Schizosaccharomyces pombe: one gene and its partners. Changing the gene in region 1 together with any one later gene gives a genetic interaction. Each region holds a gene or a part of one and is shown in the gene's direction. Other genes may lie near its edges.

Evidence for each region. Genes that interact genetically often act in the same process or in processes that back each other up.
Region 2: mutations in rad1 (region 1) and fml1 together harm fitness more than expected from each alone (negative genetic interaction), as found in Schizosaccharomyces pombe (2 studies listed by BioGRID).
Region 3: mutations in rad1 (region 1) and dcn1 together harm fitness more than expected from each alone (negative genetic interaction), as found in Schizosaccharomyces pombe (2 studies listed by BioGRID).

The regions. Positions count from the first base shown.
Region 1 is NC_003424.3:4,975,639-4,982,183, forward strand, and holds rad1 (checkpoint clamp complex protein Rad1), read left to right. Parts: upstream 1-2,939; 5' UTR 2,940-2,980; coding exon 2,981-3,116; exon of another isoform or gene 3,117-3,242; coding exon 3,243-3,483; exon of another isoform or gene 3,484-3,526; coding exon 3,527-4,121; 3' UTR 4,122-4,500; downstream 4,501-6,545. Other genes in the region: SPOM_SPAC1952.06C (uncharacterized protein), read right to left, coding at 108-1,802; SPOM_SPAC1952.08C (pyridoxamine 5'-phosphate oxidase), read right to left, coding at 4,501-4,848, 4,924-5,148; ach1 (acetyl-CoA hydrolase), read right to left, coding at 5,696-6,545. UniProt on the Schizosaccharomyces pombe protein: Recombinational reparation of DNA damages induced by UV and gamma radiation.
Region 2 is NC_003424.3:1,467,902-1,477,075, forward strand, and holds fml1 (ATP-dependent 3' to 5' DNA helicase), read left to right. Parts: upstream 1-2,932; 5' UTR 2,933-3,158; coding exon 3,159-4,607; intron 4,608-4,652; coding exon 4,653-5,482; exon of another isoform or gene 5,483-5,538; coding exon 5,539-5,764; 3' UTR 5,765-5,790; coding exon of another isoform or gene 5,791-5,984; 3' UTR 5,985-6,037; coding exon of another isoform or gene 6,038-6,204; 3' UTR 6,205-6,251; coding exon of another isoform or gene 6,252-6,311; 3' UTR 6,312-6,362; coding exon of another isoform or gene 6,363-6,440; 3' UTR 6,441-6,479; coding exon of another isoform or gene 6,480-6,503; 3' UTR 6,504-6,558; coding exon of another isoform or gene 6,559-6,638; 3' UTR 6,639-7,007; coding exon of another isoform or gene 7,008-7,148; 3' UTR 7,149-7,198; coding exon of another isoform or gene 7,199-7,998; 3' UTR 7,999-8,046; coding exon of another isoform or gene 8,047-8,206; 3' UTR 8,207-8,374; downstream 8,375-9,174. Other genes in the region: Tf2-1 (retrotransposable element/transposon Tf2-type), read left to right, coding at 1-1,947; SPOM_SPAC9.06C (5'-methylthioribulose-1-phosphate dehydratase), read right to left, coding at 5,791-5,984, 6,038-6,204, 6,252-6,311, 6,363-6,440, 6,480-6,503, 6,559-6,638; SPOM_SPAC9.07C (GTPase Rbg1), read right to left, coding at 7,008-7,148, 7,199-7,998, 8,047-8,206. UniProt on the Schizosaccharomyces pombe protein: ATP-dependent DNA helicase involved in DNA damage repair by homologous recombination and in genome maintenance. Capable of unwinding D-loops. Plays a role in limiting crossover recombination during mitotic DNA double-strand break (DSB) repair.
Region 3 is NC_003423.3:598,479-603,560, reverse strand, and holds dcn1 (neddylation protein Dcn1), read left to right. Parts: upstream 1-3,101; 5' UTR 3,102-3,377; coding exon 3,378-4,133; 3' UTR 4,134-4,282; downstream 4,283-5,082. Other genes in the region: protein new14, read right to left, coding at 5-247; rpl803 (60S ribosomal protein uL2), read right to left, coding at 1,519-2,280; aly1 (arrestin-related trafficking adapter), read right to left, coding at 4,436-5,082.

The DNA.
Region 1 (6,545 bases):
TAAAAATATATATAATTCTATAATACCAAACACTCTTTATGTTCCATAATAACAAATGTACAACTCATTAAATTGAAAATATGTTATCAGAACAAGTCATGATTTTATTACACAGATGCTTGCATAGATCCAAGTAAAACAGTAACCATAGGTTTTTCGTCAATTCTGTAGTAAGAGTCGTTGGCCTCCACCTCTTCGGACTCCACCGTCGGTTCTTCAAGGTTTTCATGATAATTTTTTAGAGCATCAGTCAACTCATCAATTGGAATGGATGCTTCGGAAAACAGCATCTTAATTTTTTTCAATGTCACTGTATTTTCAACGCATAACCACGAAAGGATAAGAACTGTAGATTGGAAAGGAAACAGTCCATGATCAATTTGTTGGAGAAACCATTTGGTACTCTTTTCCTCCGAATCAGGACTAAAATCAAGTTTTCTGCTTTGGTCAATACCTTTGAGTTGGATTCTCAAGCGATCGTAAATTTTGAAAAGGCGTTTCATTTTTTCAAAGTCATTTTCAATGAATTTCCGTAAAAAGCGCACCCTTTCTACGGTGTCAGCAGGTAAAGATCGAAATAAAGATGCCAGAATAGCTAATATATGTTCCAGAGTATCGGCTGCAGATATTTTCATAAACGCAGCAAAAATATATTTCAAACCGCCTGCTTCTACAAATCGAATACAATAAGGAGTGGAAAGAGGCCCAAATAAAAGATAGTCCAAAACTTTGATTGTAGAATAACGGCTTTTTCCTTTATGTTTCATATTTAGTATGCATAATTCAATACCTTCCTCTTTTAGAAAAAGGGATTTTCCTTTCGTTTCTTGAACCAGACTACATAAGCAATCAAACACGTTTTCCATCATTTCTTCTTCTGATCCTTGGGTTGGATCACGAAGCCTATAAGGACTGATCCGGCGCAACAAAAGATCAATCCCATTCAAGTTGCACACTTTCAATTTAGCTTCTTTTGAATTAGCGAGAATGATAGCTAAAATTTCAACAGCGTACTGCAAATTAGTTGATATAGAAGTTTCATCAACAGACGATCTACTCAGTAACCATTCTACCAATGTTGTGTTTTCAACTATTATTGAACAAATGCTATTGTCCACAGATAATAAATTCTCCATAAGAGAGAGCACACAATATACTCCATGTCGGTCTTCCTCATTAGATTCGTCAAACCTTTTGATTGTATTTGAAAGCAAAGGAAGCAAACCAGAATCTATAAGGGAAGTAAATAAGGAGTTTAATGCGTCTGGGTCAACATCCTCGTCAGTCAGTTCTATCAATAGCTCCAATACCGTAATAGTAATATCCGCATTTTCATGGTTCATTAATTCTAAAAACGTGGAAACACAATCTAATTTAAGGAAAATGGGTATGAGGATAGGATACTCTGAAAGCACATTGAAGCTTCGAATTTCCAGATCAAGATCTGCCTCTGATTCTATAAACCTTTGAGGAGAAGTAGAATACTTGATGCGTAACTCCTGATTATTATTAATTGTTTTTTCAAGTCGTACTACCATGCGCTTCAATTCAGTAGGAGTCAATGAAGCAGGTTCTTCCTGGGCTTCCTGTTCGTCTAAAAAGTCTAAAACGGTTTTTTCACTCTTTTTAAGCCCACTTCCAAAAAATCTACCTCCTTCCTCGTCAAATTCTTCATTCTCCTCATCGCTATTCTCTTCAGCGAGTCTTCTGCGACTACTAGCTGGCTCCAAAGAGTCTGCTTCCTCAGGGTTCCTTTTCTTATTTGTTTCCTCGGTATTTTTAAAAATTGAATCTACATCCATTTAGAATAATGTATTTTTTATGCGCCAGTTTCCTTTTCAAATTGAATATATGAAAACCGTCTGATACAAAATAAATAATTTTGACAAACTTATATTTTATAGCCGCATCAAGTAAAATAAAAGCCTTATGAAAAGACTATCGTGCAATTCAATTATAACGCCTGACTCGTTCCTAAAATTCCTCTCGTTTACCAGTTCAAGTAAAAGCTAGGTAAGATGTAGGCATGTACAAAGTGTATCAAAAGTGAAAACCAGAATCTAAGCTTGGAAAAAAATAATAACAGCAAGTAAATTCCCCTCTGTTTTATAAATATTATACAACTCTTATATCCAAGAAAGGAGAGATTGGAAGAAGGATAAAAAGTGTTTATTTAAGAGAAGAGAAGCTAAATAAAGTGCATGCAGTTAACTCGAAATTTTTTAGGTTGATTAAATAAGGAAGAAATTAGATCCATCTTGTATTACCTTTCTTTTAATTGTAGCAATGACTTTTCAAAAGAGGGTGTAAAAATGACATCCTAACTGTATATATGATAAAATTACAATTATGGATTTTCTAAAGCAATTTAAATTTAGCTATTATCACTAAAACAGTTCGGCAATTTGCAATATTTGTCTAATAAATGAACCATTTGTTTCATAAACAATCAAATTCATTAAGCTACAAATCCTTAATTGTATCTTTAGTTTTGAGTCAATCAACTTACTGGGATCCTATAGCTTTTTTGAATATCATTTGGTAAATTCAAATATGGCTCTTAAAACTTGTATTTAATTTGATAAAATTTCTGTGTCGAGAGATAAATAAATAAAGACAGTTAGAAGTAGATGCTATTCAATTAATAAATAAAATACTCGTCTATTAAGCTTTACGGCTTTCCAAAAATTTATATATCAGAATAAAATATTTCACAATTTTTTTTTTTTTAAAAAAGAAAAAGCAATCTCAATTTTCATTTCCTTTAGTAATCTGCATACCTTTTAAAATTGTGCACCTTTTCGAATTTTACTAAATAACTTCTAACTTGAACTGTCTTTCTTATTCTGCGTTTGGTCTTGTAATCAAGTGTCAAGTCCTTTAATATCAGAAGGAAAAATTATCAATTTATAAGATTAGCATTTACGGGTGTTCAAGTTGTAGCATATAACCAATTTTTTATTGTTGGACGTAAATTCGCATGTTTCAAGCAGAAACAGTATGCTTAAAGCAGATTCAGTCAACATTACGATGCATTGATTTTTCAAAGGAATGTACTATCGAAATCACAAGTCGTGGACTACGGTTTGCAGTGGAGGAATCGCAGTCTTTGCAGGGTAAGACAAGTCGAGTCTCACATCTATGATCGTTAAAAAATTTGAAGCTACTTAATAAAGTTTCATATATTAATGCGATTCTTGAAATGCATTCACTTTTTCTTTATTGTTCACTCACACATTAAGCTCACGCCTTTCTTGATAAGTCGTTGTTTCAAACGTTTAATTTTCAGGGTGATTCAGATGGGGATACATATATGTTCCAGACGATGATTTCACCTCTTTTACAATCATTATCAATTTATACAGATGGAAAAGAACGGATTTCAACTAGTGCCTGGGATCAACCCACTGTAAACATAATGCACAAACGAGGCGTTATCTGCAAAGTACAGTATAATGGACCCGGCTGTCCATTTATATGGGAGTAAGGATTTTATCATTAACATTCTGTACTGACAAAAATAAAGAGTAGAGGAAATGGCTGGTTATGCTACGGCTTGTGAACTGTTGACTATGGAATGTGAGGACGACGTTGACATCAATAGACTTGCAAGCACATTGTGCACGAAGATCATTATGAAAAGTAACTGGCTATATGATGCCTTGGTGGAATTAGACAATAACATGGGCGAAAATTTAATTATTCATACATCATCCCAAAAATCAACCTTCTTATTGAGATGTGTAGGGGCATTATCCACTACGGAAATAGAATATCCAAACGAGAAAAGTGTTTTAGAGTCTTTTGAAACTGATTCTGAAAACACTTATTCCTACCGCTTCTCATTAATAAGACATGCGCTGAAAGCATTACAAGTGGGTTCTAAAGTAAACCTACGTATTGATGAAAATGGAACTTTGAGCATTCAAATCATGCTTGTCGGTCAAGAAGGGCTTTGTACGTTTGTAGACTTTTGTATTGTTCCTTTGGACCTTGTAAGTGAAGATGAGGAGGAGGATGAAGAAGAAGAACCAGCAGAATCTAATCAGTCGGACAATAACGTTTTACGAAACGATCCGAATTATCGAGGAGATGCGGAGACCGAGGATGAGGATAGCTAAATGATAATTTTAGCACTCAGCACTTTAGTGTTTCCGATAACTTCAAAAAAAGAAAAAGGTACAATTGATACTGAACAACTTATGATAATACACTTATTCAACGAATCATGATTTATTTCCCTGCTTTTTGTTTGGTCTTATTTAGGTAGCTTAAAGTCACACCGTTTCCTCACTTTTTCTATGCTTATTTAACACACGTATAAACAAGACGCTTTCCACTAGGCTGTCTAGCAAAGCATGTAGCCAACAAAATTCCCATGTATCATACACACGATTATACATTATGGTTAGATCTACGAAGCATTCAAAAATTCTTCAAACATTATTGATTTTTAAAAAATAGAAAATGCAAAGTGACACTCATAAAACATTTGTTTACTCAAAATGGAGTCTCATCTCCTCTTGCATTCCATTTTTGGACGTTGTTGAGTCTCTGATCACAAATTCTCGCACTTTCCAACTTTATCTTGATAATTCTCATATCCTCACCCTCCACGTATTGTTTCGTATTACCCTTGTCATTAGTGTTTAAATGCTTTTCTCTAAAGAATTCCTCTTCTTTGCTATTCTTTGGAAGAACGGTAGCAAGGCCATTCAAGGTCACTGATGTATTCGAGAACTGAGCCTGATTCATTTTATAAAGTAAGGTGTACAATGAGGAGGCATCAGGATCTGTTTCTTGACGATTAGTGGTCCAGTCATGAACTAGTAATGATACTCGAGGATTCTAGTCATCATGTTAGAAAAAAGAAAATACCAATCAGGATCAAGGATAAGTTAAACTTTTAAATATGATACATACCGAACTGATGTTAAAATATTTTTTACTGTTTTCTCCTGTTGACAAAATAATGCAATCCTCCACTTCGTAAGGGGCAGCGCTTCCTGCAGGTAAATAGGTAAATGTCATCAAAGAAGAGTGAGGCTGATCATGAAAGCAAGTAGCTAGTTGAATATATTTGGATGAGGACAAGCATCTCTTGATTTGGCTGGGGAACTCATGAGATGAATCGACTTTTGAGGCCATATTTACTTTCAGGTTATTGTGGTGCGACAAAGATTATAATTTGCAGAATAAATACTGGTGAATGGAAACTATTGATCCAGACAAAACTGTACGATAATTTCTATACTTGATTATCCTTTCCTAAATTTTGGTGGTACTCCTCTCTGAGTAAGCAGGTTTGATACTAGGTTAATAGCAGAAATGCTGACTCACAACTCAACGTAATATAGAGGTATGTACTAAACAGCCAACTTACGAATTTTGCAGGGGAACTAAAGATTAATAATCTTCAAAGGAATACTGCTCATAAAATAAACGCGCTCATTTCTGTGTATCTTGGAAAATTCATACGCATTATGATTGTTGGATTTACTTACTCAAAACTAATTTCCTTAACTTATAAACACTAATTTTAGTATACGGATTTTTTTTATTTCGTAAATTAAATTAATGTAAAAATGAAATACATTAAGTCATAACAGCACGAAGAAGCTGTATTTTAGTCGTAACAAGGTTTTGGAAAACCCTTAGAAAGAGTAAAAGTGGCTATAACAACTGATAACTAAATTTACCAATGATCGATCTTCATCGTTCCTTTTTCTAAAAGGTTGAGCTGCATCTTGAAAGCATTGGCAAGAATATGGGGTTCATGACCAGCTCCTCTAGCTAAACAGTAGTTTTCGGCAATATCGAAATACTCTCTGAGCAGAGGCTTATAGTCAGGATGAGCACACTTGTCAATAACCTCACGAGCACGTTCGGTAGGAGACAAGCCTCGTAAATCAGCCAATCCTTGCTCTGTAACCAAAATATCCAAATCATGTTCGGTTTGGTCAACATGGGTAGCCATAGGAACAATACAAGTGATACCAGTAGGATCCTTCTTCGAAGGACGAACCGATGGTGTATGCATAATACTTAATTTCGCATTACGCAAGAAATCAGCAGAACCACCTAAACCGTTCAACATTCTGCTTCCCAAAACATTTGTACTATTGGCATGAGCGTAAATATCGGCTTCCACAGGAGTATTCATAGCGATGCAACCAAGACGGCGGATAATTTCAGGGTGATTGGAAATTACTTGAGGGCGTAACAAAATTCTTTCCTTGTAGTAATCATAGTTTGAGTAGAATTTTTCAAATCCCTGAGGAGAAAAACGGGTTGAGGTAGCAGTAGCAAAACGTAACTTTTCAGAGTCAAAGAGAGGCAAGAAAGTATCTTGTAAGACTTCTGTCCACACTTCGAGATCTTTAAAGGGAGAATGGGCAAGACCACCGATAATAGCGTTGGCAATGTTTCCAATACCGGATTGCAAAGGATGAAGATTTTTGGGAAGACGCCCTACAGATACTTCATGATGGAAAAAGTCAACTAAATGGCCTGCAATAGCCTGCGAAGTCTCATCTTGCGGAGAG
Region 2 (9,174 bases), 3.5 Mb from region 1:
ATAGAAAACATTAAACAATGTTTAGTTTCTCCTCCGGTGCTACGACACTTTGATTTCAGTAAAAAGATTCTACTGGAAACTGATGCTTCAGATGTCGCTGTAGGAGCCGTATTGTCTCAAAAACATGATGATGATAAATACTATCCTGTTGGATACTATTCAGCAAAGATGTCTAAAGCACAATTAAATTATAGCGTATCGGACAAAGAAATGCTTGCAATCATTAAGTCTCTCAAACATTGGAGACACTATTTAGAATCCACTATCGAACCTTTCAAAATTTTAACAGACCATCGAAACTTAATTGGTCGCATTACTAACGAATCCGAGCCTGAAAACAAACGTTTAGCTCGTTGGCAATTATTTTTACAAGACTTCAACTTTGAAATTAACTACAGACCTGGATCAGCAAATCACATAGCTGATGCCTTATCCAGAATTGTTGACGAAACAGAACCAATTCCAAAAGATTCAGAAGACAATAGTATCAACTTTGTTAATCAAATCTCGATAACCGATGATTTTAAAAACCAAGTGGTTACAGAATATACGAATGATACAAAATTGTTGAATTTACTAAACAATGAAGACAAACGAGTGGAAGAGAATATCCAACTCAAAGATGGCTTACTAATTAACAGTAAAGACCAAATCTTATTACCTAATGATACTCAGCTGACTAGGACAATTATTAAAAAGTATCATGAAGAAGGTAAATTGATTCATCCAGGCATTGAACTTCTTACAAACATTATATTACGTAGATTTACGTGGAAAGGAATAAGAAAACAAATACAAGAATATGTACAGAACTGCCATACATGTCAAATAAACAAATCTAGGAATCATAAACCTTATGGACCTTTACAACCAATTCCCCCATCAGAAAGACCTTGGGAATCTTTATCAATGGATTTTATTACAGCTTTACCAGAATCATCTGGTTATAATGCACTTTTCGTGGTAGTTGACCGATTTTCAAAAATGGCAATCTTAGTACCTTGTACGAAATCCATTACAGCAGAGCAAACAGCTCGAATGTTTGATCAACGAGTTATTGCTTATTTCGGCAATCCAAAAGAAATCATTGCAGATAATGATCATATTTTTACTTCCCAAACGTGGAAAGATTTCGCACATAAATATAATTTCGTTATGAAATTTTCGTTACCATACAGACCACAAACTGATGGACAAACTGAGCGTACAAACCAAACTGTGGAGAAATTACTAAGATGTGTATGTAGCACACATCCAAATACATGGGTAGATCATATATCCCTAGTGCAACAATCTTACAACAATGCGATACATTCAGCAACTCAAATGACACCTTTTGAGATAGTACATCGCTATTCACCAGCTTTATCACCTTTAGAGTTACCTAGCTTTAGTGACAAAACTGACGAAAACTCTCAGGAAACGATCCAAGTATTTCAAACAGTTAAAGAACACTTGAATACAAACAACATAAAGATGAAAAAGTATTTCGATATGAAAATACAAGAAATTGAAGAATTTCAACCTGGAGACCTAGTTATGGTCAAAAGAACGAAAACAGGTTTTCTTCATAAATCCAATAAATTAGCACCTAGTTTTGCAGGACCGTTCTATGTGTTACAGAAGTCGGGTCCAAACAACTATGAATTGGATCTTCCAGATTCAATCAAGCACATGTTTTCATCTACTTTTCATGTTTCTCACCTAGAAAAGTATCGACATAATTCAGAACTCAATTACGCTACCATTGATGAGTCTGATATTGGAACAATTCTTCATATCCTAGAACATAAAAACAGAGAACAAGTACTCTACTTAAATGTCAAGTACATTTCGAATCTAAATCCGAGTACTATTATGTCAGGATGGACTACATTAGCTACAGCGCTACAAGCGGACAAAGCAATTGTCAATGATTATATTAAAAACAATAATCTAAATATCTGAGAACATATGACTTATCCTCAGATTTACATAGAAAATCTTGGGGAGGGCAATGTCAGCAATACTACACTACGCTATAATACACTACGTTGAGTATCACTATATGTCACATGTTCTAATTATATATCGTACCATGTATGATACGATATGGAGATTGATCTTAATGATAATCTATTAAGATCAATATTATCTGAATACTATAAATAGAGCTACTGCTGAACCTCGTTCCTCAGTTCAGTTATGAGCTATATTAGTGATAGGTAACATTATAACCCAGTTAATACAATACCTATACTCAGTTGCTACTTATACAACCTGTGTATTGTAATATAATAGATCACAAGGAAAACTCACCGCAGTTCTACGTATCCTTAAATCAGATACCAAACTGCGTAGCTTACAATTTCATAGAAGTATGACCTTTGAACAAAATCACTATTTCACTTAATGCAGTGCTTAAATTCTTTAATTTATACTTAGTGAATCAGTAAATTTAAAATACGTTAAATGGCTTTATGGAATTTCCAAAGGAACTCTTCGAAGAGGAAATTTCAAATTATGTGATAGATTAAAGATTATGGCTATTATTCGATAAATGAGTGTTTTTTTACTCACTTGATGTGTGATATGTTACCACAAACAAAGTCCAATTTTGAAGGTACAAACATCAGAAAGTCCTGAATTCTAGCAACATTAGTCTATGTACGGACACTTTTCAACTCGTTTTACTTCATCTAGCTAATCATTTTCTTTAATCTAAGAGCCATTACATGTCTTTCTGATAGGATTTGTTCGGCTATGCTTGTTATTTGTTTATCGTATAGAGAGCGACTTATAGTGAATATATACAAAAACCATTATGATGATATACGAATTCTATATCGGTTATTAGGTGCTTCCCTAATACAATACTACACCCGCGCAATAATTCGTTATAACAAATCGTTACTGAAAAGACATGGAATATACACATTGGCAATGTAATTTTAAACATAATTAACTTCATTACTTTCTCATGAAGTTAATTGTATCTTAAACCATTTGAGGGAAAAAACTTGTCCTTTACAATTACTTCCGACAATAAAGGACGCTTTGCAGTGAATGTCTTATGGAATTGTTGTATTTGACGACTGACGAAACGAAGTACCTTAGCAAAATTCGTTTTTAAGTAATTCCAGCTAAATTTTTGCTAACAATATAAATCATTGATAAGGATGTCCGATGATTCTTTTAGTAGTGATGAAGACTGGGACGAATTGGACACCCAAGTAGTTGATAAAATTGAGAATGAATATCATAATAACACGATAGGTTTAAATGGATACTCAGTTGATGAATATTTTGATGCCAACGATTCCAATAGATATCGTCTACAACACGAGTTAGATGAAAGTGCAGCACAGCAATGGGTATACCCTATAAACGTCTCCTTTCGAGATTATCAGTTTAATATTGTCCAAAAAGCTTTATTTGAAAATGTACTTGTAGCTTTGCCAACAGGTTTAGGTAAAACATTTATTGCAGCCGTTGTGATGATGAATTATCTTCGTTGGTTTCCAAAAAGTTACATTGTTTTCATGGCTCCTACTAAACCATTGGTTACACAACAAATGGAAGCTTGCTATAAAATCACTGGAATTCCAAAGAGTCAAACTGCTGAATTAAGTGGACACGTTCCTGTTACAACTCGAAATCAGTATTATCAAAGTCGAAATGTTTTCTTCGTAACTCCTCAAACCATTTTAAACGACATCAAGCATGGAATTTGCGATCGGACTCGTATATCTTGTTTAGTAATTGATGAAGCACATCGTAGTACTGGAAATTACGCTTATGTGGAAGTTGTTCATCTACTTTCTCTTAGCAACAAAAATTTCCGTATACTGGCTCTTAGTGCTACCCCCGGAAATAAGTTAGAAGCAATTCAGAATGTAATTGATTCTCTTCATATATCCAGGATTGAGATTAGAACTGAAAACAGCATTGATATATCGCAATACGTTCAGAAGAAAGAGGTGGATTTTTTTCCTGTAGATTTGTCTGCAGAGATTACAGATATAAGAGATCGATTTTCTTCTATATTGGAACCTATGCTTCAAAAATTGAACAAGGGTAATTATTATCGAATTCAGAATGCTAAAGACATAACTTCTTTCACTGTGGTTCAAGCTAAACAAGCTTTTCTTGCAATGTCTGGTCAAAACTTTCCTGCTAATCAAAAATGGGATATTTTAAATACTTTTGATGCATTAGCGACTTTTGCCTATCCTTTAAATTTGTTACTCAACCATGGTATCCGACCGTTTTATCAAAAATTGCGAGAGGTAGAAGAAGAATGCTTTGTAGGAAGATCAGGTTATAAGAAACGCATAATAAATCACGAAAATTATCGTCCTTTAATGGACGATATAGAAATTTTGTTGCGAGATCAGTCTTTTGTCGGACATCCCAAACTAGAGCATTTGGAACGTATTGTTACAGAATATTTTGAAAAAGAACAAACCAAGGATACCAGAATTATGATTTTTGTTGAAATCCGCTCTAGCGCCGAAGAGATTTTACGATTTTTGGGTAAATTTTATCCAAATGTGAGACCAGCTATTTTTATTGGACAATCTGCTGTGAGAAAGGCTGCTGGAATGTCTCAAAAATTACAGAATGAAGTATGTAATCTGAAAATGATGGATCCTTAACTAACTAATCTCTAGACTGTGAAACAATTTCAAAAAGGTGAAGTCAATACTTTAATAGCTACCTCTATTGGAGAAGAGGGTTTGGACATAGGTGAAGTAGACATGATCATATGTTACGATGCATCTGCTTCTCCTATAAGGATGTTACAAAGAATGGGCAGAACTGGGAGAAAAAGGAAAGGTTATATTTATATGCTTTTGACGCGAGGCAAAGAAGAAGCAAAATGGGAGAGAGCCAAAGACGCTTATCGAACTTTGCAAGATAATATTGTCAGTGGTCGCGGTCTCAGCCTATCGGAAAAAAGTTATAGAATTTTACCAGAAAAGTTTCGCCCGGTTTGTGATAAACGAGTCATAGAAATTCCCAAAGAAAATGAAGAAGTTGTAGTAGCTCCAAAGAAAGTGCAATTGAGAACGAAAATAAAAAAGAAATTTTTCATGCCAGAAAATGCCTTGAATGGATTTATTACTGCGTCCGCTTTAGGTAAACCGAAACGTGCTTTAGCCAAGTCTGAAGAATCACCGTTCGAGATATGTCCCGTTACATATAGCATTGAACAAGAAAAGAAACTGGAAAAATATAAGCGTGTTTGCTTAAGAGGTTTGGATATTCATAGAAATAGGAGGTTATCTCAATTGAGTGTTACAGGACGGATACCGCATTCTCTAGCTACGAAAAGTATACATTCATTTTTAAAGCATTTAAATACTATAGATTCGCAAAAGGCTCAGGAGTGGAGAAGAGAAATAAACAACCAATTCCAAGTATCAAATATCAACTCGACGGATCGTGACACAAAACAGCCAAAGATGCATGACTTTAGACAACCTTTACACCCAAATCCGTAAGTGTTTAAACTATTGAGTTGTTTAACGATAATTACAGATTATTAACATACAGGATGACAACTTTGAAAAGGAAAGGACAACATAATTCATTTTCTTACGACAAGTCTACACTGTTTTATGACAACAACAATAATTTAGAGGAAGACCTCCCGGATGTAAATATTTCTATATCTTCAAGGAATGAAGAAGCATCCAAGACAAAACCATTTGACGACCGACAACAACGCCTTCAGCAACTCGTAGAGAAAAGGAAACGTATGAAAGGAATGCTGATTTAGAGAATTAAATAGTGTTTAGAAATAGCCTACAACGTTTTCAATTTGTAGTCTAACTCAAAAAGATATTCGTAGCATTCCATTTGAGTTTTTGATTTTTCCCATGTTGCTCCCCAACCGATAACCCCATGTCCACGAATAAGAACAGCACATGTTTGTGGATAAAGCTCGATGACTTTTTTTAGTTCATCTAATATTGTTTTACTATCGCCATTGTGGATAACTACATAATCAGTATTCAGATACCAGTCAACACCAACAGAAAACACAACTTACTAGGAACCTCTAGAGTATCAAAACAGCAAAGATAGCCTGCTGAAGGATTTCCCTTTGGAATTCCTTTGATCATTTCCTTAGATTGTGTAGTAAATTTCTCATTATACATCGATGCTCCGACTGCAGCGACTGAAGTAGAATATATACAGGCTACTGCATCCATATTACTTTTGATGTGTTAAAAATTGCTGTAAATAGAAAAAATGATGCATACCTCAAAACCCATGAGAAAATGTAGGCCCAATTGACTAAATCCTTGGTGACTGACTGATTGCTGTATAAAAGGTTAGATACTAATTGGAGCTGATCCAAATGAATAATTTACCTTAAATTAAAGGTCACGATATCGTTTTCCGTTATGAAGTCTCTTTGAACCCTGTCCTTAACGCAAATTGCATAACCACTAAATGTTAACAAAATCGTTTGAATACCGTACAATTACTTGTTCTTTAGACAAAAGTTTCCACTAAATACCAATTAGCTTTAAAAAATTACTGAACATTAAACGTCTTGAACGCTACCTGCCAAATTTCATCCATCCAAGACTGTAAAAATGAGGAATAAGTTCAAGAATCAAATTTTTCTCTAATTGGAGACTCATTCTTCTAAAATTTTCAACTTTAACCTTTAAAAGTTCCCGTACTATACTCAGAAATGATTTATTTAATGATCGGTTCTTTCAGCAAAGTGAGTAGCGTTTCATAAGTTGCGTTTGCAAATTTGATATTAAAAAGTAATTGAAGGAAGACATATGTCACAAAACACTCTACACAATCATTCATTAAGCTTATAATACACGAAAACTTTTACTTTAAAGAAAAAACAATTTGAACAAATAACGAAATAAATTACCATCTAAAATTTTAAGTCATTGTAACCCACCTATTAGAGTAACCAGTTAAATAAGTTTTCAGGCCTATATATTCCAATACTGGGAAACCAAGGAAAGTAAGATGTTAGGAAAAAAGACTTATTTTTTGACAATCGTCACTACATCCTCATCCAACAGTACATGAGATAAACCAACACGCATGCCAGGATAAGGAACGCTTTTTCCCCAAACATAAGCATGTTTAAACTGGGATTTGATACTTGAATGAATATTGTTACACTAAAGAAGTTAGCAACACGAAGATCGGCAGAAGCAATTCGAAAACTTACAAAATCCTCGACAGTAGAATGGCCAGTACGAAGGATAACAGGTTCGCTGTAATCAGGTTCAAGACCTCTAGGGCGTGTATAGACTCTAACCAAATTCAAATAGTCCCACATCGTTTCTTTAAGTTCGTCAATGTTCCAACCCCTGTTACCACAAATGGGTACGGCGTTAGGAATACGATCAATCAAATCAAGTTCTTCAATAGAAATTGAATCAATTTTATTTAACACGTAAAGTGCCGGGATATAAACGCGATTTCCTTCCAAGACATCAATCAAATCATCAATGGTGGCATCACAACGAAAAGCAATGTCAGCAGAGTTAACACGATATTCGCTGCAAACAGCACGAATTTCGTCCAAATCAATATGAGTCAAGGGGACAGTATTGGTGATATTGATACCACCACGTTCTTTCTTTTTGAATACAATGTTGGGGGGTTCCTTATTTAATCTTATACCAAATCCTTCCAATTCCTCTTCAATAATACGCTTATGAGACATTGGTTTCAATACATCCAAAACAATAAATATAAGGTTGCAAGTACGTGCAACAGTAATAACTTGTTTACCACGACCACGACCATCTTTGGCACCCTCGATAATACCAGGCAAATCCAAAATTTGAATTTTTGCACCATTGTATTGCAAAACACCCGGAACCGTTGTTAAAGTTGTAAATTCATATGCAGCGGCTTCACTTCTCGTTCCTGTAAGCTGAGTCATGAGTGTACTTTTACCGACGGAGGGAAATCCAATGAAACCTACAGTACCAATACCGGTACGAGCAACATCGAAACCAACTAAGAAAGATTAGTACTCCAAACAAAAATTTGACGTTCAGTACATACGCCCTCCACCACCTCCTCCACCGGTAGGGGTGATCAATTCACGTTTCAATTTTGCAAGCTTGGCCTTTAACATTCCCAAGTGCTTAGCCGTAGCTTTATTTTTTTGGGTTTTGGCCATTTCATCTTCAACTTCTTTTATTTTTTGCGCCGTAGTCGCCATTTTGTTTTTTTATTATATATGAAAATGCTATGAAAATGGTGAAAAGAAAATTCTATAACTAAGTACGTATAAGATCTTTTGCATTATTGAGTGCTAAGCAACCCTCTTTATTTTATATTAGTGTATTAAACCACATTACAACAGCCAAACTATTATTAAGATACCAGGTAGAATATCACGTTGGATCTCGATATTTGTTCCTTGTTGTAAGTAAATAAAAAAATATGTGAAATATTGAATCCAGTTATTCAATAGAATTTCATAAATAAATCTTTTTTCTTTTGCGTGTCTTTTTTTATGCGTTAGATCAATATAAAATATGTATGTATATAAAAAGTTGATAATTTTGTTTTGTTTTTCTTACACAATTTTAATGCAAATATTAAATAAATAAGATTGCAAAAAAGTAGTTGCTGATTGCGCAAAAGCTTGGATTAACAGTATTTTTTGATAAATAAAAAAAGAAATAAATAAATTTAGTATGTTCTAAGTCAACGGCAAATGAATTATTATTCAGGGGTTGAAGATAATGTCAGTTAACAAGGTTAATTATCGGGTCAGGGTAATAATTAAAAATTAAATAAATAAAAAATATCTGCGGCTGTTGCGTATAAACAGTAGACGGATGAGCAATTATCCCCAATAGCCTAAATACAAAATATAAGAACACATAGTAGAAACTACAAAAACATTTTTACCGGCAACAATAACCTCGTTGATATAGTGGTATTGTTGATAACTCAAAAAGCCCCAGCGTTTTGTGCGCGAAAATTATATTAATATTAACGAAAGCGAATATGCTGAATATGTATAAATCTGCAGAAGATACATATGTATCATTAATTTTTCTATGTACAATATTGTAAGCAACATAACTGATCGGAACAGGAAAAGTAGATGAGAAGAGGGAAACGGTTAGGATAGCGTGAAATTCAAGATCAATGCGAAAGAAATAAATTATAAGGGTT
Region 3 (5,082 bases), on another chromosome or scaffold:
AAGGCTATTTTTTTTTGCTTCCCTTATATTGCAGTGTTTTTTTTAAGTTATTTAGCTTCCACATTCTTTGAGTAGAGAGATATATAAGAAGCAGATCAACATGTTCTTCTAATATGTTGGAATTGAGTAATATAGCATATGTTGATAAATTTTTTAGTATCCGTGCAATAGTATTACATTTAATAATTAAATGAAATGTGTTACCTGCTTTCTCTAAGTTTTCAATGATTTTTTCTTTTTTTTGCATTTATTTTGTGTTTGTGCAATAAACATTTTCATTATATTTTTGTTTGTGCAATAAACATTTTCATTTCTAAAACGTATCAATTGTCCTTAAATGAATTTTTATCAACACAGCAACATGTCAAACAGTGGCAGATGAATGTCTAATTTCCAAGGAAATTCATCATGATTAAAATTATTATTAATGACCCTTTTTTTACCCAAAAACATCTTTACGACATCGTTTACATGCTCAACCTCTTGTACCTATTATATTCTGTTTTTAAAAAATAAAAGAGATATACGAGCATAAATAAAACAGAGCCAACTATCCCTTTTATTTATTTTTATTTTTTGCATGTTTTATTAAAATAAATAAGCTATTCCTTTTTAACATTTACAGCAATCGTACACAATCCCTTTATTTTTCCGAAACAATTTTTAAACGGAATTTAATTTTTGATGAACATCAATCCATATACTATAAACATGGTTTTAAAATTTTTACTTCAGGCAAATGAATAAAAAATGCACATACAAAAACAATACTTAAATGTATAAAAAAAATTTATTAGAAATAAACTTATTTTATGAAAGAAAATGGGATAAATAGAATTATTATTTGTACATACCAACAAGTCCCGTTTAGCTCAATCGGCTTAGAGCGTCCGGCTTTTAACCGGAAGGTTGCGAGTTCGAATCTCGCAGTGGGAGTTCATTTTTTAATTTTTATATTTCGTAAATACACACACCAAGCGCACAAAAGTTAACTAGCAAAACAATTAGAATATTTACTATACTTTTTTTTTTTTTATACTTAATGATTTAAACATTAATTTGTATCCTTGTTCAGTGTATTTAATTTTATATTTCTGTTAGGATGTCATTCATGTACTCTTATCGCCATTAGGAACAAACTAGTATTTGAGGCGCATTGGAGTTATATAAGAAATAGAAATAAACTCATTTGGTAAAGTAATGGATCTTTACACTTAATGCTCAGTAAATGTAAGTCACAATTCATAAAATAAATTAGAACCACTATCACAATTCTCTTTGAATACGACTATTACCATCCAACCGTCTATTTCAACTTCAAGCGGACTTTGAAGGGTTACAAGGCACTACAGCAAATGTAAACACAAAGCTTACGATTTCTACAAATTCAACTATATTCTAAGAGGCGAAAGAAGTATGAAAATGAGATACCAGATGAATTAGATAATAAGAACTGGAAGGAAGGAAAAAGTGTAAAACCTTATAGAAAGATTAAAAGGCCCTAGAATAATATATGGCTTAGTTTTCGACAGCAGCAGCACCACGCAAAAGACCTGTTCTGCGGGCGGCAATAAGACCGACCTTTTGACCAGGAGCAGATTGACGAGGAACAGTGGTAGAATGACCAACGTGTTGATGGTTACCACCACCATGAGGGTGATCAACAGGATTCATAGCGACACCACGAGTACGAGGCCAGCAGTTGCGTTTGACACGGTACTTGTGGAATGCACGTCCAGCCTTGAGTAAAGGCTTATCAATACGTCCACCACCAGCAACAATACCGACAACACCACGGGCAGAAGAAGGGACAACCTTCTTAGCACCAGAGGGCAACTTGACACGGGTCTTGCCAGTGTCAACATCATGACCGACAATGATAACATAGTTACCCGAAGAACGACCCAATGCACCACGGTCACCAGCCTTTTCCTCAACGTTTGAAATGATGGTACCCTCAGGCATTTCACCAACAGGCAGCACATTACCAACAGTCAAAGCAGCGTTCTTACCGCAGTAGACAAATTGGCCCGTGTACATACCCTCAGTTGCAACAAAGGTCTCAACATCGGTTCTGTAATGATAAGGGTTACGAAAGGCAACCTTAGCCAAAGGAGCGCCACGACCAGGATCATGAATGATCTTTTGGACGACACCACGAATATAACCATGGCGTTCAGCAAAGTCCAAAGTACGGAGCTGAGCAGCACCCTTACGAAGACGGGTATGAGCTTGGAAAATTCCACCACTCTTTCTTTGAGCTCTAATAACACGTCCCATGGTTGTTAGATGGCGATAGAAAACTTCCTAACGGACCTTCAACAGTATGTTTGGATGATAAACAGTGTACATGTGACTGCTTTAACGACCAGGGTAGGGTTACTGAAACATTCGAAAACAATATCCCTGTTGATTTATTGCAAACTCCAAATATATCGGAATAAAGAGGTGACAGAGCAATTGAAAATAATTGCAATATTTTGATATATTGTTGAGTTTATTCGTTTAAATGCAATTTTATGCTATCTATACTAAACTATAGTAATAGAAGGTTAAGAACTTAATTATTACGAGGAAAATCAGACTGAGGAACGAATTTACGTTTCTAAACAAATTTTACAAACTTGAGAAATTGCAACAATAACAGAGTATACAGAACGATATTGTAGTTACGAAAACATTTGAATCTTATGAATATGAATTAGTTAAGAAAATATATTTTTTTTTCAGCCGATATGAGCATGTACCATTCTGTTGAAGTTGAGAAGTTTTCTTGGTAAACTAACTTTGGAAAGAGAGTGAGTACACCGAAATTTTCTTTTTTTCTTTCAATAAAAAAACACAAATTTTCGCATCGTTTATGTTTGACCCATAAATCTTAAAAAAAAAATTGAGTTGGACAATTTTGTACTGATATGAAAATGCAACGTAATAGTAAATAAGTACATTTAAAAGGTAAGAATTTCGAAAAATAACATTTAAAGTAGACTTGTGAAACTATAGATTTTAAACTAACTATTTCCGTTTTCAGATGTTTTTGTACATACACCAATAGTTATCTACAGACAATCACTTAATTGCTGCTTGTACTTCCATTCGCTAACTCTCAGCTTAAGCATATAAAACCAAATTACTAACTCAACTCTTTTGTTCCGTATAATACTCATTTTCTGTGTTAGCCGTGGATTGTGTTTTCTCTCAAGATACAAATCTGTTTGACGGTGTTAAAATTGATTATTGTCTCCCTTTTTCGAAAATCTGGTCAACCGGTTGTGCTCAAATTTTACATTTTTGCTAAATTCAGTCTGTTTATTTCTCAAAAACTTATACAGCTACTTTTACCAGTTAAGTGTATATACAATAGCAATCAAAAACCTATGAAACCGGATACCGTATCTTTGACTAGAGCATTTTCTAAAGCCACATCAACTTCTTCTAAGGCAGCTCTCAGCTGGCTTAAAAAGTATAATTTTGATTATGATGTGGCCTACACGAAATGGATACAGCAAAAATCTAGAGAAGAGGCGGAAAAGCAATTAAACAATGTTTTCAGTCAATTTTCCTCTAAAGAGGATAAAGATTTGATAGAACTTGATGGCTCGGTGCAATTATTTACGGCGCTAGACATTTCACTCGAGGATCCTGAAACTCTACTTGTTTCTTATTTCCTAAAGTCCCCGCGAATGGGAGAATTCCATCGAGAAAGTTTTGTTGAAGGTGCTCTCAATCTCTCAACAACTAGCCTTGATCAATTAAAACTTGCCATAAAAGAAAAAGTGCAAGTTTGGAGGTCAGATGCATCCCTTCAAAAAGCCATTTATATTTACACATACCCGCTTGCATGTGATAAAGGAAAGAAGACTTTAAGCACTTCCATTGCCATTGAATTTTTCCAGATTCTTCTTAAAGATACTTTTCCTCTTCTGGATGATTGGATTGCTTTTTTAAAAGTTTCCCCTATTATCGAAAAATCTCTGCCAAAGGATACGTGGAATGAATTATGGGATTTTAGTGTATTTGTTAAATCAGATCCCAATTGCTCTAATTATGATTTTGAAGGTGCGTGGCCAACCCTCATAGACGAGTTCGTGTCTTACTATAGAGAACACGGTTATAAAAACAGCAGCTCCTAACAAATAACTGCTTTTCTGTAAGTTGATTTCAATGACATCAATGAAAAAATAATAAACTCTTACACCCCAATAATTCTCTACAGCAAACTGCTGCTAGTTTAACCCTAAAAACATTTTAGTAATGAGACACATATGTTTAATAATAAGAAAAATAATGAATATATTAATGAAACTATAAAAAGAACATGTACAACAGTCAATGGAAATAGCAAGTGCGAAAAAAAATATAATAACAAAAACGTTTATATACAAGGCAAGACAAAAATGCAAATAGATAATAAATCACAGATAAATAATAGATACTAGTTGTCATCATGATTTTCATCATGACTGCTGCCACTTTGAAAAATATCATCGTACTTTGGAGGTGGTGCTTGATACGGGACAGCGGTCCAGGAATCAAAGGATGGTGGAGAATTTCCGATAATGTCAGAATCAAGTGCGAGATCCCTGTTCATACCAGCAATGATTCTGTTGTCGATTGAGCAAAAATTTACCTCACTAGAGGGGATAATAGGACAATACGCAGGTAGCATAGTTGAACCATCAGAACATCTGCAAGATAAGAGTCGGACAGGAGAATCAATATAGATTTCCAAATATTTTGCAGAGCCCATTAATTCAGGAGAATTTTCGCAAGAAAAGCGAAGTACTGTACGCACAGTATGTGTTATTTTAATGTTTGGATACGTAGTATCGAAATGCACAATATTGGCAGCCATGTCATGACATCCAGGAATACGTACCTGATCAGACAGTTCGTAAACATCAGGTCTAACCTGCTTCCAATCGGAGAGCAAACATTGGTTCTTTGGAGCACTACGCTCATACAGAAGTAGTTGTCTGGTTTTCTCTTTTCGACGGACTGAACGTTGGCGACAATAATAATATCTTCGCTCCATTAAAAAAAGGCGAAGTTTATGAAACTTGACTTCACCCAAGAGGGTGA